Linked DNA regions of Oryzias latipes. The protein of the gene in region 2 purifies or fractionates together with the protein of the main gene of each other region. This does not show direct contact. Links are inferred from orthologs where the notes say so. Each region holds a gene or a part of one and is shown on either strand. Other genes may lie near its edges.

The links.
Region 1: the proteins of rnf41 (region 2) and clec16a purify together in Homo sapiens (affinity purification with mass spectrometry; 3 studies listed by BioGRID and IntAct, with this or other methods). This does not show direct contact. The link is inferred for Oryzias latipes from reciprocal best matches to the Homo sapiens genes RNF41 and CLEC16A.
Region 3: the proteins of rnf41 (region 2) and cacybp purify together in Homo sapiens (affinity purification with mass spectrometry; 4 studies listed by BioGRID and IntAct, with this or other methods). This does not show direct contact. The link is inferred for Oryzias latipes from reciprocal best matches to the Homo sapiens genes RNF41 and CACYBP.
Region 4: the proteins of rnf41 (region 2) and soga1 purify together in Homo sapiens (affinity purification with mass spectrometry; 3 studies listed by BioGRID and IntAct, with this or other methods). This does not show direct contact. The link is inferred for Oryzias latipes from reciprocal best matches to the Homo sapiens genes RNF41 and MTCL2.

The regions. Positions count from the first base shown.
Region 1 is NC_019866.2:16,880,674-16,884,245, reverse strand, and holds part of clec16a (protein CLEC16A), read right to left. Parts: intron 2,492-3,572; coding exon 2,486-2,491; intron 1,430-2,485; coding exon 1,306-1,429; intron 1,160-1,305; coding exon 985-1,159; intron 377-984; coding exon 326-376; intron 1-325. UniProt on the Homo sapiens protein: Regulator of mitophagy through the upstream regulation of the RNF41/NRDP1-PRKN pathway. Mitophagy is a selective form of autophagy necessary for mitochondrial quality control.
Region 2 is NC_019865.2:22,240,713-22,243,060, reverse strand, and holds the end of rnf41 (E3 ubiquitin-protein ligase NRDP1), read left to right. Parts: intron 1-59; coding exon 60-414; 3' UTR 415-1,793; downstream 1,794-2,348. UniProt on the Homo sapiens protein: Acts as E3 ubiquitin-protein ligase and regulates the degradation of target proteins. Polyubiquitinates MYD88. Negatively regulates MYD88-dependent production of pro-inflammatory cytokines.
Region 3 is NC_019875.2:24,410,150-24,414,324, reverse strand, and holds the start of cacybp (calcyclin-binding protein), read left to right. Parts: upstream 1-1,330; 5' UTR 1,331-1,443; coding exon 1,444-1,461; intron 1,462-2,335; coding exon 2,336-2,546; intron 2,547-2,643; coding exon 2,644-2,740; intron 2,741-2,819; coding exon 2,820-2,919; intron 2,920-3,258; coding exon 3,259-3,353; intron 3,354-4,175. Other genes in the region: mrps14 (28S ribosomal protein S14, mitochondrial), read left to right, coding at 161-325, 513-695. UniProt on the Homo sapiens protein: May be involved in calcium-dependent ubiquitination and subsequent proteasomal degradation of target proteins. Probably serves as a molecular bridge in ubiquitin E3 complexes. Participates in the ubiquitin-mediated degradation of beta-catenin (CTNNB1).
Region 4 is NC_019865.2:5,989,302-5,992,873, forward strand, and holds part of soga1 (protein SOGA1), read right to left. Parts: intron 173-3,572; coding exon 20-172; intron 1-19. UniProt on the Homo sapiens protein: Microtubule-associated factor that enables integration of the centrosomal and Golgi-associated microtubules on the Golgi membrane, supporting directional migration. Preferentially acts on the perinuclear microtubules accumulated around the Golgi.

The DNA.
Region 1 (3,572 bases), on a different chromosome or scaffold from region 2:
TAAGTCTTTCATGCACTGTAAATGAGATACACACGACACTGCTCCATGTAGCAATTAAGCTAAAAACATAAGCTGGAAGCTCTTCCCAACGCGGCCAGGGCATCAAGCTAAGGAACACATTTTTGGACAGGCGGCAAGCAGAGAATATGCCACCCAGGGAATGAGAGGCGGCCGATGCAAATTTTTTGTGCGAATGATGTTTGGTATGAACGCAACTTTATAGTATGAATGAAATACATACTGAGCCTTTCAAAAAGCTGATAAAGAATGATTGATACATCAATGAGGCACTTTGGTCATGACCAGTGTTAGCTGTGCTGCTTACTTGAGACAGCAGGTAAAGGGACACCTGAGGGTTAATCTTCCGTTCTTCAGACTGAAAAAAGAAAAGAGAAGTTAAGAAAAATGGTTCAAATAGACCACATTTATTGTTTACCGTAATGTACACGTTCGTTGTTTTTTCAAGTGTTCACTTAGTTTCTAAATATGAAAATGTGAATATTGGTGTCAAACAGGAATGGAGAAGTTGGAAAATCAGATTTTTTCACTTTTTCACAGATGTTCGCATTTTCAAAAATAAAATTAGGTGACTTAAATGAAGATATAGCTTCAAGTGTCAACCATGCTGAGGAAGAGTCAGGTATCTGAGCGAAACGTTAAATAACAAAAAAAAAAAAAACTACAAATAAACTTTATTAAAAAATTACCCAAAAAGTACTGATGATTCAATTCAAAAGACAAGAAGTAAATGTTAAAAAATGACACAGAAACACATTGCATTATAAAGACATGCATGGTAAATTAAATTTTTTATTTTTTTTTATTTTAAAGATCTTCACTTAAATCCAACAGCATGAATGGAACCAAGTCAGTCAGGTGTGACAGTGGGTAACCGAAAATGAGTGTCTAAGGGCAGGGATGCCCAGGGTCTGTCTAGTTCTAGGACTACATAAATAAAAATGAATTGAATTAAATTGAACATACTATTTCAGGACAAACCAAGGAGTAAACGTAGAGGGGCAGGAAGAGGCGGTTTAGGAGGTGATCAGTTAACACGTCGTTCAGGAATTCACAGTTGATGATGAGGATGTCGTTCAGATAGTGGAGATGGTCGAGATGCTCCGCTACCAGGTCACTCAGCTTTCCTTTGTTCTTATGCCTGAGGTAGATGCAGACACATGGCATTTTTGTGTGTGTGTGGGGGGGGGGTTGTAAATCAACAGGTAATCTAGAAGGAAGATAAAGCTAACATTCCTGACACAAACCTGACCTCTAAAAGCCACTGCAGGAGCCTGCAGAACTTACTCTTCATCTGTCTGCACACACTTGTCCAGCTCGATGACATGGCTACCAATAAACCACACCAGGTTACTGAAATATGGGACTGCGGTTTTATCCCGAATGTAGTGCAGCATGTGCTGGTTGTCCACTGGAGGAAATGACAGAGTAAAACAGAGATTAAAGTAAAAAAAAAAATGCTCTTCAAACATTAAGAGATCTTAAGTAAACAACATAACATAAAAACATGAGTTAAAGCTCAAAAACGAGAAATAAAACCCAAAGCCTTAACTATTTACAATAGAAGAACTAATGGGTATTTTATTTTGAAAAATGAATGTTCTAAGATTTAAAGTAAGAAAAAAAAACCATTTCAAATCAAAAGCATTAAGAATAAAAAGCCTGTACTCCGATTAGGTCTTATTGAGATACTTCAAAAGATGTCTTCTTTGTTGATTTTGAAAAAATGACAGCAACCAAAAAAAACAAAACAGTACAGTCTAGATCTCTATATTCACCCCTAAGTGAGGGAATAAAAACTAGAATCCATTTTTCTATAAGAGTAAACAAAGGATGCTAGGAAACAAATGAGCAGCCAAAATATCAACATAGAGAGTCACAAAACTATCAGAAATACCAAAAGAAAAACTAAATAAATGAGCAAATATGTGAGGTCAGTATTTAAAAGTTACACACAAAAAGAAGAAAAACAAAATCAAGACAAAACTTGGCATGCATGTTTGCAAGAATGTGGTAAAGGGCCAATCAAAGTACATACATGTGTATTTGAAAGCTACATTTCAATAATATTCAATTCAATTTAATTATACTTTATTAATCCCACAAGGGGAAATTTAAATTCCAGTACCACTCGAACAAGATCAGACATACAACAGAAAAACACACATTTCGAAGTTGACTGAGGTCTTGCAGCCGTGACGCAGGCCGTGACACCTGACACCATTGCAACCTTGTTTTTAAATATATACCATTAGGAACAAGCAGGGCTGGGTAACAACAAAAAATGACAGATTTACTTTAACATACAGTATATACTTTAAAATAGTGAAAAACATATTACTTAACAGATGTAATAAAACTTTTTGTACCCATAAATAAAAAACGTAAAGAATACACTGACTCAGCGTTTTGTTGATAAACCCAGCCCTGAGAGAAAAAAAAGGTTGAATGAATGGAACCAACTTACATGAAACTGCAGTTAGGCAGATGGGGTGCATAGAGGAAGAGGAGGAAAGAGACAAGAAGAGGAAGAGTAGGAGGAGTAGTTGGAGAGGGGAAACAGACACAAGGGTTAATGTGAATACAAGGGCGTTTGTGGCGTTGTGGCAGACAAGCTTGCAGGCAGCAAAAACTGCAAACAATGGACAAACTTGGACAGGAATTTCAATGATACCCAGACATATTGGAGCTCATTTTTAGTTGTTTTTTTGTTTGTTTTTCACAGTTAAAAGGCTAAAGAATTTTTAAAGGAGAAAAATCTGTGCTGTAGTGGAAATTATTTTCCAAGTATTTTATTTGTTGAGGTACATATAAATTTAGAATTTAGATAAAAGAAGCATCAAGTTCAATTTCGAGCTATAAAAAAACTTTTACTCCAATTCCTCAAGAGTGAAAAAACCTTTAACACAGATATTAAAGCCATTAACACAACTTTTTGTTTCTTTTTGCATATAGGTTCAATGTGATAGTTCTTACAAAGTGAATGAACCTTTTTTTTTTTTTCCAGTTTCTAGCAGCAGAAATGTTTAAGATTTTGATATGGAATTAAAGTTGAACATATTTGGCTTATTTTGTCACAGTTTTTTCGCAGTGTGTGTGTGTGTGTGTGTGTGGGTGGGGCATTTTTCCTCCTCCAGCATTTCTTAATGATGATGGGGGACATTTACAAGAAAATTTAACTTAAACTTGCAATTTTGAGTATTTCTTCATTCAAACTGTTGTGATTCAGTGGCGAATGAAGAAATCATGTTTGAAAGAGATCATATTTGTGATTTAAAAAATACGATGGCCGGGTCACAAGGTCCCAGCTCCGCCCCATTCTGATGTATCCACCAGTAGACGACTAGATCCATTTATGTCATCAATATACACGTTTTCCTTGCCTGAGCTGGTATCTGGCTCAAAACTGTACAGCTCTTCAATGCTTATGCTATTAAAACGGATCAAAAGATGATTAGGGAGGGATTTTTTTTAAAAGCCAATATCGAGGAATTTAGTGCATTTTGCATCATGGATGACAGCAGTTCAGTTGCACCCTATGAGAGTTGCTGAAT
Region 2 (2,348 bases):
CTAAAATCAAACCGCTTTTGAATTTTCATGTGGTTCCTAACCCTTTTGCATCTCTTCAGGTGGGTGAACTCCATGCAGCCTGCCAGGGTGACTCGCTGGGGGGGCATGATCTCCACGCCGGACGCTGTGCTCCAAGCTGTCATCAAACGCTCGCTCATCGACAGCGGCTGCCCCCTCTCAATTGTGAACGACTTGATCGAGAATGCCCACGAGCGAAACTGGCCTCAGGGACTGGCCACTCTCGAAACGCGGCAGATGAACAGGCGCTACTACGAGAACTATGTTGCCAAGCGGATTCCTGGCAAGCAGGCAGTGGTGGTGATGGCCTGTGAAAATCAGCATATGGGGGAGGATAAAATACTGGAGCCCGGCCTGGTTATGATCTTTGCCCACGGAGTGGAGGAGATCTTATAACTTTATCACAAGTTGAGCTCTTCCAGAGACAAGTTGCTCTTTTCACTGTAGCGTGGAAAAGGTCTTTTCTGTTTTGTTTTCTTCTTTGAAGTGAAACCTGGAATAAATCTGGCTTCTTAAAAATAAACTCTTAGGCTCACTCTTGAGTTTACTATCTATGCCTTAAAATAAGGACAAATACTTTATGAACCTGGCAAATATAAACAAAATCTGACATGGATGTATAAGGTTAAAAGTGAGATGTTTACAACGTTTATATTTAGTGCATTATATGAAGATTGTTCTGCTCTTGAAGGGATTTTTTTTCCTTACTTGTGATGTGTGGAGTACCTATGAGCATTTCGTGTTTACCTGATCATCCTTATGAACAGTATGTTTTTAGGTTGATTTTAAAAAGAGAACCACATTTATTCACAGCTAAACGCTAAGCAGAAATGTTTGTCCATCCAGTTTTCTCTTCAGATCGAGTTATTTCTGATGCTGAGAAAATGTTTTTCTCATGATTGTCACACTGGCCTGCAGGTTGGACGGTATCTGCTCAGACGTACTTCACAGCTGCTTTTCCAGGGAGTTTTAAAAAGGAAAAAAAATCCTTTTTTTTCAAAAATGGTAAAGCTTGAACCCCATTTAATGCCCTCTCTTGTACAAATTGCTTGTAAATACAAATACTATGTAGAATTCTAATTGTTCCACTCATCACTGTAATTATAATTGTAATTTTATGTCGGCTGTGAGCTGATGTTACCGTTTGCAGGCAACTCTGTGATTTTCGCTGTTTTTCCACTAGACGTTGTGCTTCTTACTTTAGATTGTTCAGACCTTCTGTGCCATTTGTTTTATTTATTGCGTTGCCTTTTTTGCAAAAAAGGTTTAAAGGTGTTATTTGTTTTTTTTTTTTTTAAAAAGGCGCCTTTTGGAGTGAACCTATAGGCCTGAGGATGAACGGATTTGTGTTTCCTTTTGATGCCTCGGTTGTACATATCTGTATTTTGGATCCAGTTGAAGTGTTAAATCTTAAGTCCTAATATATGAAATCTTATTAGATATCAGTTCAATTTAAGTCAATAATTCACTCTTATGCTAAGTCATCCATGTATTTTCAATTATTAAAATGTAGGTATAAGTACTGTCATTTACGGAAAGCATATTTTTAGTCACATGTACGAATGAAAGATTGTAGACATATTGTTAAAATCACTCATTTGAGAAGAAAAATGCTTTTCATTAGTCCTTTATTGCTGTAGTATTACAAAACTACAACCAATGGCTTATAAATCTTCAATATAAAACTGTTCTTTGTTATTTTCCATGTCAGTGTTTTGTTTTTGTCTGTTATGTACTGTTTTACAGGCTAAATGTAATAAAAGTTCAAACATTTTCTCACTAAGTTTATTTGAATCACCTGATTTTAAAAAGCTAAAGAAAAAAACAAAAAAACATGTAATTCTGCATTTTACCTCAGCATGTCATCAAAGGTCCACATCAGAAATGAATAATGACAGGAGAAGACTGAAAAGAAGGTGTTTTGGAGATCTGGAGTAAAGAGGTACTCGTGTGGATTATGAAACAGAAAAGGCCATTTTAACTACTGATTCCAGACAGAGGTCTGACCTCACTGGCTCTTGTCCTCAACGTCTAACATGGACACCCACATGATTTCCCTTTTTGTTTTTGTTCGTTTTTCTCTTCTGTCAGGTTCATCCACATTGTAGAGCTTAATCCTCAACCATTGTGATCAGTGGAATGTGAAATCACGCTCTACGCTGTGCCTCATTTACTGTCAGTTTGCATTATGTGGTCAGATGCTGCATGGTGTGCAGCTTTCCCAAATGTTGGTTTACATGTTTAGTGAATTAAGCTAAACCCCAAAACTAAGGAAACGTGTGACCTGTAGTCTGTTTTTTTTCCATTGTGACAGTGTTTCCTGTGCAACG
Region 3 (4,175 bases), on a different chromosome or scaffold from region 2:
ACTGATGATCGCAAACAGACTTCTTTTACAATATTTTGTCAAGCACCTCTTGCATTACAGAACTAAGATCAAGTGAAAACTTAAAACCAGAGAAAATAGATTGCAAATGTGTGGTAAATGGAGAGAAACCTGTCAGAAACTTGATGTGTGTTGTGTGCAGGCACTAAGAAGCTGCTGGGGAGCTGTGGAGCAGATGAGAAGCTATTATGTTGACTGGAGGATGCTGAGGGACGTCAAAAGAAGACAGATGGCCTTCGATTATGCAGATGAAAGGCTACGGATCAATGCATTAAGAAAGAATACTATCCTGCCTAAAGAGCTTCAGGTAGGCTCCAGCTTCCTATTTACAACTAGTTCCTCATTGTGCCACACCATAAGTTTGACAGTATGCTCTTATTATTTAAAGAGTCACGATTTTACAAAAGTTCTAGTTGCACACACAATATATGTCAAACAGCTGAAAGTACACCAGTAGCGGACAATCCCTAAACCCTGTCTAATTGTCTTCATAGGAGATAGCAGACAAAGAAATTGCAGCACTCCCGAGAGATAGCTGCCCTGTGAGGATACGCAACAGGTGTGTGATGACTTCCCGGCCCCGAGGAGTGAAGCGGAGGTGGCGACTGAGTCGAATTGTATTCCGACACCTAGCTGACCACAACCAGATGTCAGGGATTCTCAGGGCAAGGTGGTGAATGTGGTCTATTGGATTCGTCTGTAAGATTGTGTGTTAACAAAGCAATGCAGGTTGCAGATTTCTAGAATGTTGTGTGAACTTAAAGAAGTAATGCAAATATTGAGTATTTAAGCTCGACTAAGAGTAAAAAAAAACAAAACATAATAAATATTGTTGTACAAAAGTGTCCTGTTTTTTTTTTCCTTCTTTTTTATGTGGTGGTAATAAACACAAACACTGTGTTTATTGTGGAGAAAAATGCTTCTGAATGATCTACTGATGTGAAAAGTTAAAGCCATCATTAAGCATTCATGTGCTGTGTAATTTTCAACACGGCTGTTTGAAGCTTCACAGTGTTATTAAAGGATTAATTTATGGTGTTTAATTTGAACATGATGGTATTTCTAAAAAAAAATAAATAAAGTGTCCCAGTGATACAAGTTGCTAAATGTTTTTGTTGTCAGGTCATATACTCACCCTAAATAGAAATAGCTGCTTTAAAATAAAATAAAAAATAACTCGTGAGTATAAATATTGCCACTAGTAATTTACAGTACGTAAAATCTGCTAAATTTAAAATAAATATATCTTACTGTTGTGTATTGTTCTGATCTTACTTATTCCAACCACTGGGTGGCAGTAATGAGATTAAAGGAACTTTTAACAGCAGGAAATAATTCTAAAGAGGGCCAAACCAAATTGTTAGAACTCCTCACTGCGAAGAGCTGTGCTGCTTGACAAAACTGAGTGGAATTTGAAGAACCAGAATGGATCTAACGGAACAGGTAAGAAACATGTCTTGGCCAAAGTATTATTTTAGAAGAAAAAATCATTGTCTATTTGGATGAGTTTGTTAAATTTACGTCGGTCTCAATAGTTGGGCGATGTGTTGTGTTAGCTGTCGGTTAGCCGCTTGCCCTTAACGGATTTTTTTGTATGCTTTGCTTTGTTTCTTTCTGTCTGTATATTTTTTTAGACGATTGTTTGAAAAGCTTGTTTAGTTTGTCACAGTGACAAACGTTGAGGGCGAGAAAAGTCCCTGTGATGATTGACGTTCAGTTGTGCTCATGAAGTTTACTAGAACCTTCTAGCAACATCACGCTCGCGGGTTCTGCGCTACACTTCCTTCGGAGTTGCTTTATAGCATTTTAAATGATAGAAAAACGATTGAAAGCGACAATATCTCAATTCCTATTGGATGCTATTGAATATCCTTACTCGTAAATGTTGAGGTTTATTTTATTATATGTCGTGATAATTAAACTTAAGTCATAATAGAGCCATGCTTTGCTTTGGTTTTTATATTTTGATTAAAATCATGTGAGTTTTGCTTTTAATTAATGCTTTTTTATGTTTTTAGGTGAATTTCTTAATCATGTCTTTGCATAAATGTGTTTAATCGAACAGTGTACGTTAAAACATTTCCATAAGGGACTTGCAGATCTCATCATTAGCAGTTCACACATTTGAATTGGTTCTTAACTGACTTAAGTAAAGGTTAGATGTAGAATTTCCAGTCAGGAAAATGAAACTTTTAAATTGTACTGTTTTAGAAGAAGCTATATATAAGTTAAATAAATAAATAAAACAGACTTGATACAAATAGTTTGCTTCATCAAGATCAGCTTGTGCAGTGGTTGTTCCTCATTTTTCTAACAGATCAGTCAGCTGGAAGCAGACTTGCAGGAGCTTAGTTCCCTCCTGGAGAAGTCTGAGAGGAAAAGGGTGCAGGAGCTGCTGAAACAGGAGCAGAGGAAAGTGGAAAAAGAGCTTGCAACGAAACGACATCAGCAGGAGCAGCAGGCTAAGAGAGAAGCCGATCCAACAGCAGGCTCTAAAGCACCATACACAACTAAAATCACCAACTATGGTATGGAGCATGTTTGAGAGATTACAAGTGTTTGGAACTAAAAAAAAAAAAGAAAGATTTGAAGAATTGTTTGTGGTTTTATCTTTTGTATCTGTAGCATGGGACCAGTCAGACAAATTTGTTAAAATTTACCTGGATTTGAAAGGTGTTGACAAAATCCCAGCAGAAAATGTTGAAGTCAACTTCACTGAAAGGTAAATCCACTTATCTTACAGTTTTGTAAGGAGCATTCATACATTTTTTTATGCTAAGCCTAATTTTGTCTTGGTTCAGGTCTTTCTCTGTTTTGGTAAAGAATCTAAATGGGAAAAATCACCAGATGTCAGTGCTCAACTTGTTACATCCAATTGATGAAAAGGACAGCTACAAAAAGGTGAGTCACTTTTTCTCTTGTCCTTTAAATGTTCCTCCAGTGTTTGTTTGAACCAGTAGCACCATGTTTTTGTTTTTGAAAAAAGTATTCTTTGCAAAATTTGGTACCAAAATGTCAGCCCCCTTTTTTTTTCTTTCTTTTTTTATCAAAAAACCTTCCCAGTTTTCATACTCTTCCGAATCAGCAAACAAAAAACCAACAAAGGATTTTGGAACCTAAAAATTTGCTCACTGAATTTTTTGGATTACATATCCATTTATTCGGCATATATGTCCCCTTTGTTTTTACAATTGTATTTTTTCTATGTCACTAATTTCTTACTACTTTTTTTTGCAACAGATCAAAACAGACATGGTCTTGATCATGTGTAAGAAACAGGCCACAAAGAAGTGGGACTGTCTAACAGCAGTGGAAAAGCAGTCCAAAGAAAAAGAGTAAGTTCAGAATAAACCTCTTTTTTAATAACTAAATGTGTTTTTCATTAATGTTTAGCTGGAAACACAACAATGTTTGGCCAGTTTAATGTTGGGCAATATAGAGGAAATGTATTTATCAAGTCAAGGTTTCTACATAAAGTCTAAAGAAAAAAGTCATTATAAAAAAGGTCTGTAGATTTTTACAGGAGACATAGATTGAATAGAACAAAGTTGCTGACATGTGAAAAGGTGCTTCTGATGAATGAAAATTGGATAAAAGCTAAATTACAATCCTTTGTGAGAAGACTAAAGCACTGGGTCAACTCAATTCAGGCTCTGGTTATGCTTCAGGACAAAAAAATTTTATCATATTTTGTTTTTAAATTAAATCTTGAACCATTTTATATTTATTTTTACTACATAGGAGTATTAGTTTCTTATCAGAGACCTTTATTATTTAGTTTTCCTTTTGAAAAATGTCCTAAATGTCCTGTTTTTACAAGTTATCACAAATCAGAAACAACTACCACAAACAAGCAGCATTGTTTTGTTTTGTTTTATTGCCATTCTCTATATAAAATCTACAGACATTTTTAGCAGACTTAGAACTTTTCATTTTGGTGTAGGACCCAGTAAATTTAAGACCTTTTCCCGAACTATTAAAGTGGAAGTTCAAGAAAAAAAGAGGCTATTTGTAGCCTCATTGGACCTTTAAGGTGTGGCAGATAAATATAGCAAAACAAAATAACACAACTGCCCAGAAAATGTGTTTTTATAAGTAAAGTAACATTATGGGGCCTGGTGCCAAGTGACCCACAGACTGTTACCAGTCTGTAAAGA
Region 4 (3,572 bases), about 16 Mb from region 2:
ACGCACACACGCGCGCTACCTGTTTGGTTAGGTCCATCACAGCAGCGTAGGACTCTGCCAGGAGGTGTTGGTGTTCCGCGCGTTCCTTCTTTAGCGCCACCTTCAGGTCTGAGGTGTCTAGTGTTTCACTTGGAGAAAGAGTTACGGTGGCTTTGCCAGATTTGGCCTCAAGCTGGAAGACAAAAACAAAAACCTTCATAAAAATGGTTCCTTTTTTTGTACTGAAATGTGAAAACATTAGATTTGTCTCAACAATTTTAAAAGACATTAAACTTAATTTGCGTTGTATACACAGAAAATGTGCTTGGAGAGGAAAATCCATGTAAATAAACAAATTAACTAACTTTGTAATCAGACAAATTTGGTCCTCAAAACAAGAGGAGTCATTGATTTTAACTAAAAAAAAAGAGTCAGATCATTAGAAATTAAAATTAAAAAGCATCTCATTTAATCAAACATTGTCTTTTTTCAAAAATGAATAAATAGTTACCCCTGCAAAAATGATAACTACCTTAATATATAATATATCTAACACATTTCAAATGCAACCATGTGATAAAGCTAAAGCTTTTTTTACTATAATAAAACAAAAAAACCTGAGGCAATGCCCACATTATATGCTCGAAAACAAATATTATTAGGCAAATATATATATGTATATATATATATATATATATATATATATATATATATATATATATATATATATATATATATATATATATGCTTGCTTAAATGCACAGTTCAATCTGAAGCAGCTATTAGAAGAACTGAAGGTTGGTTTCCTGGTCTTTGTAAAACATTGATGCGTAAAGTGATCAGAATCATCGTTTTGCTTAAATGAGACAAAAAACATCTCATTAAACATTTGAACAGTGCAGATCAGGAAGAGTGATAATGGTTTGTGAATACTTCTAAGAGTTTTATGAAGATGTACTTAATGACAGTTTGAGCTAAGGCTGCAATGTAAAGAAACCGACTTGAGCAGATGGTAGAGGTAATTGATAAATGATTAACTGGTTGGTAAAAAAAATGTATTATGCACATCTGTCTTGTGAAGTCCCACCTTTGCCTCTTTGCACCGTCTCTGAACCTTCCTGTCAGTCCTCCTCTCCCCCCAAACCCTTTTCACCCTCTCTTTGCACATTTCCTCAAGCTTCCGTGCTGCTGCATTTTTCTCACCCTTTATTTAGAGCATTCTCACTCTGAATCTGGCTGCTGTCACTGATCCTGTAGGGGGGATCACTTCAACTTCTTATAAGCAGTTCTGCATTTTTTTCCCGCCCCTGTTTGAGCCTCAGGGTCTATAGCAGCCCATCTGCTTGACAAACACACCCAGACCCATCTATCTGCTCTCTGCCTTTCTGTTTGCCTCCGTGGCATTTGTGTTAGCAGCTAATGAAAATGTCAGGTAACTTATCACAGCGAAACACCCACAGACTTAGCCCAGCTCCAGTCTCCATAGACTAACAACGAGGTTCCCTGTAAAATGGTGACTATACTTCTTTGGATGACAGCTGCTTACTGGTGGATCAATGACGCTTGATTTTAAGCAGGTACACCTACTTTAATTTATGAACTTGAATGTGTAAAATCGCACAGAGGAACAGTGATTACATTTTACGAGAATAACCCAGAGGAAAAAAACATGAAAACTAAAAAAAAGGGCAATAAATAAAAGGGTTGATAATGATTTGTCTTTGAATAAGATGTTCTTATTAAGGTAAAGATGACTACATTTTAATAAAAAGACAATATATATTTTGGTTTTAAAGCTTAAAAAAGAAAATTGTACCTTTTTTAGAAAGTCAAAGTTGCCTGCATGATCAAATAATAAGTTACCACCTTAACTGGTTTGGAGTTCTAGAAATGCTGACATGCAGAGCTGCTAATATAATGAATATATTTTAAAGGTTATGCATACAAATTGATGATGAGCAGTAGCAGATCACAGGCTCGTCTCTGTGAAAATCCCTGCCATGCAATATTGATCTTTCTTTTTTGTCCTTTTACATTCTCTCCATCTTTACACACTGCTACAAACAAAAGATGAAGTGTAAGCTTTCGCTGAAAAACTTTATCCTGGATTATATAAGAAAGTAATATATAGCTGGTTAACATCTGCCTTCAGGTCAAAAATGCCTTAAAGAAGTGGTGTTGAAACCAAACGAGCTAATATGTTTTTAAGTTACATGTATAATTTTCAAAATCTAGCAGATTTTTTTGTGTTTTGTTGTGTTTTTTGGTGACTTTTACATGTCTTGTGAAAAAATAATATGCAGATTTTCCCACTAAGACTTCCAGATTTTTTTGTAACATATAAAACATTTCCTTTATTGATTTTGTAGATGTTTGTGACATATTATTTAATCTATACATTAAAAAAAATTAAGACGTTTTATGTTTTTGTGCATGCAATAAATTGCTGTTAAAACTGTTGTGGATTTAAGGACCTGTTATGGATTTTTAGCTGTTTTAAAAGTGTTCCCATTGGTAATTATGGTTATGCCGTTCTTAGCCAAAATTTTAAAAAAACCTGGGTTGTTTTCAAGGACATAGTTTCTGCAGAGCAGCAGTAGTTCATTAGAAATTCACCTCTGAGTTGTGGGCAGGACCACCTGCTCCTGATTCACAATGATTTGAACAAAGAAATACTCAGAAATGCATTTTAAGCGTATTTTTCTTCATATATGTCCTCCATCATCAGAAAAATGCAAAATGTTAAAAACAGCAAAAACACAATATTCATCCATGTAGATCTTTAAATGGTCTCGCACTATATGCTAACTTTGCCCTTTGAAGGATCTCTGTCAAACTGTAGAGGTGCTAGAAAGAACTTTTTGAATGCAAAAAGTTAAATGAAAAGATTTAATTCAGGTAATGGATCAAAGGTTTGTCAATGAAAAATCGTATGAATGTAGTGAGAACTTTACAATCAAGATGTCAGTGAACCATTTATTACTACTTCATTTGCATACAAAGAATATAGAATATACTCGCATATTAACCAATAAATCATACCTCTCTACATTAGGGAATTGGATAAACAGATGTGATACAGAAGGGATCAGAGAGTGCAGCTGTTCGCTCAGTCATTACAGATATGACAGCAATGACAATGTGTGTGACAGTCATGATGGATCGCTATTAACCAAAAGGACTTGAAGCATCAGTGCAGAACTTATAAGATCTTTATATCTTTATAAATTATCAAAACAAAACAAAAATTGTATTATCTGTCATGCTCTCAGCACTTTGGACGTTGCTGACAGTGTTTGTCTATACGCCTGAACAGTGGGGATAATTTCTCATCCAGCTGTCTGACAAGCAGAGCAGTGTTTGGAATTGAGTTGACTTGTTGAGAAGTGTCTGCCATGTGTGGTCTCACACAGAGACACACACTCACAGAAACACACACACACTCACAGACCTCTGTGGTAAATTGATTGCTTAGATCAAAACGTGCATTGCTTGGTATGGAGATTGTATCCAACTGTGGCATCTAGGTCAGGGTAAAACAGCCACGCACCCCTGAGCGCGCACACGCAAACTCAGAGTTGCACTATGCAGGC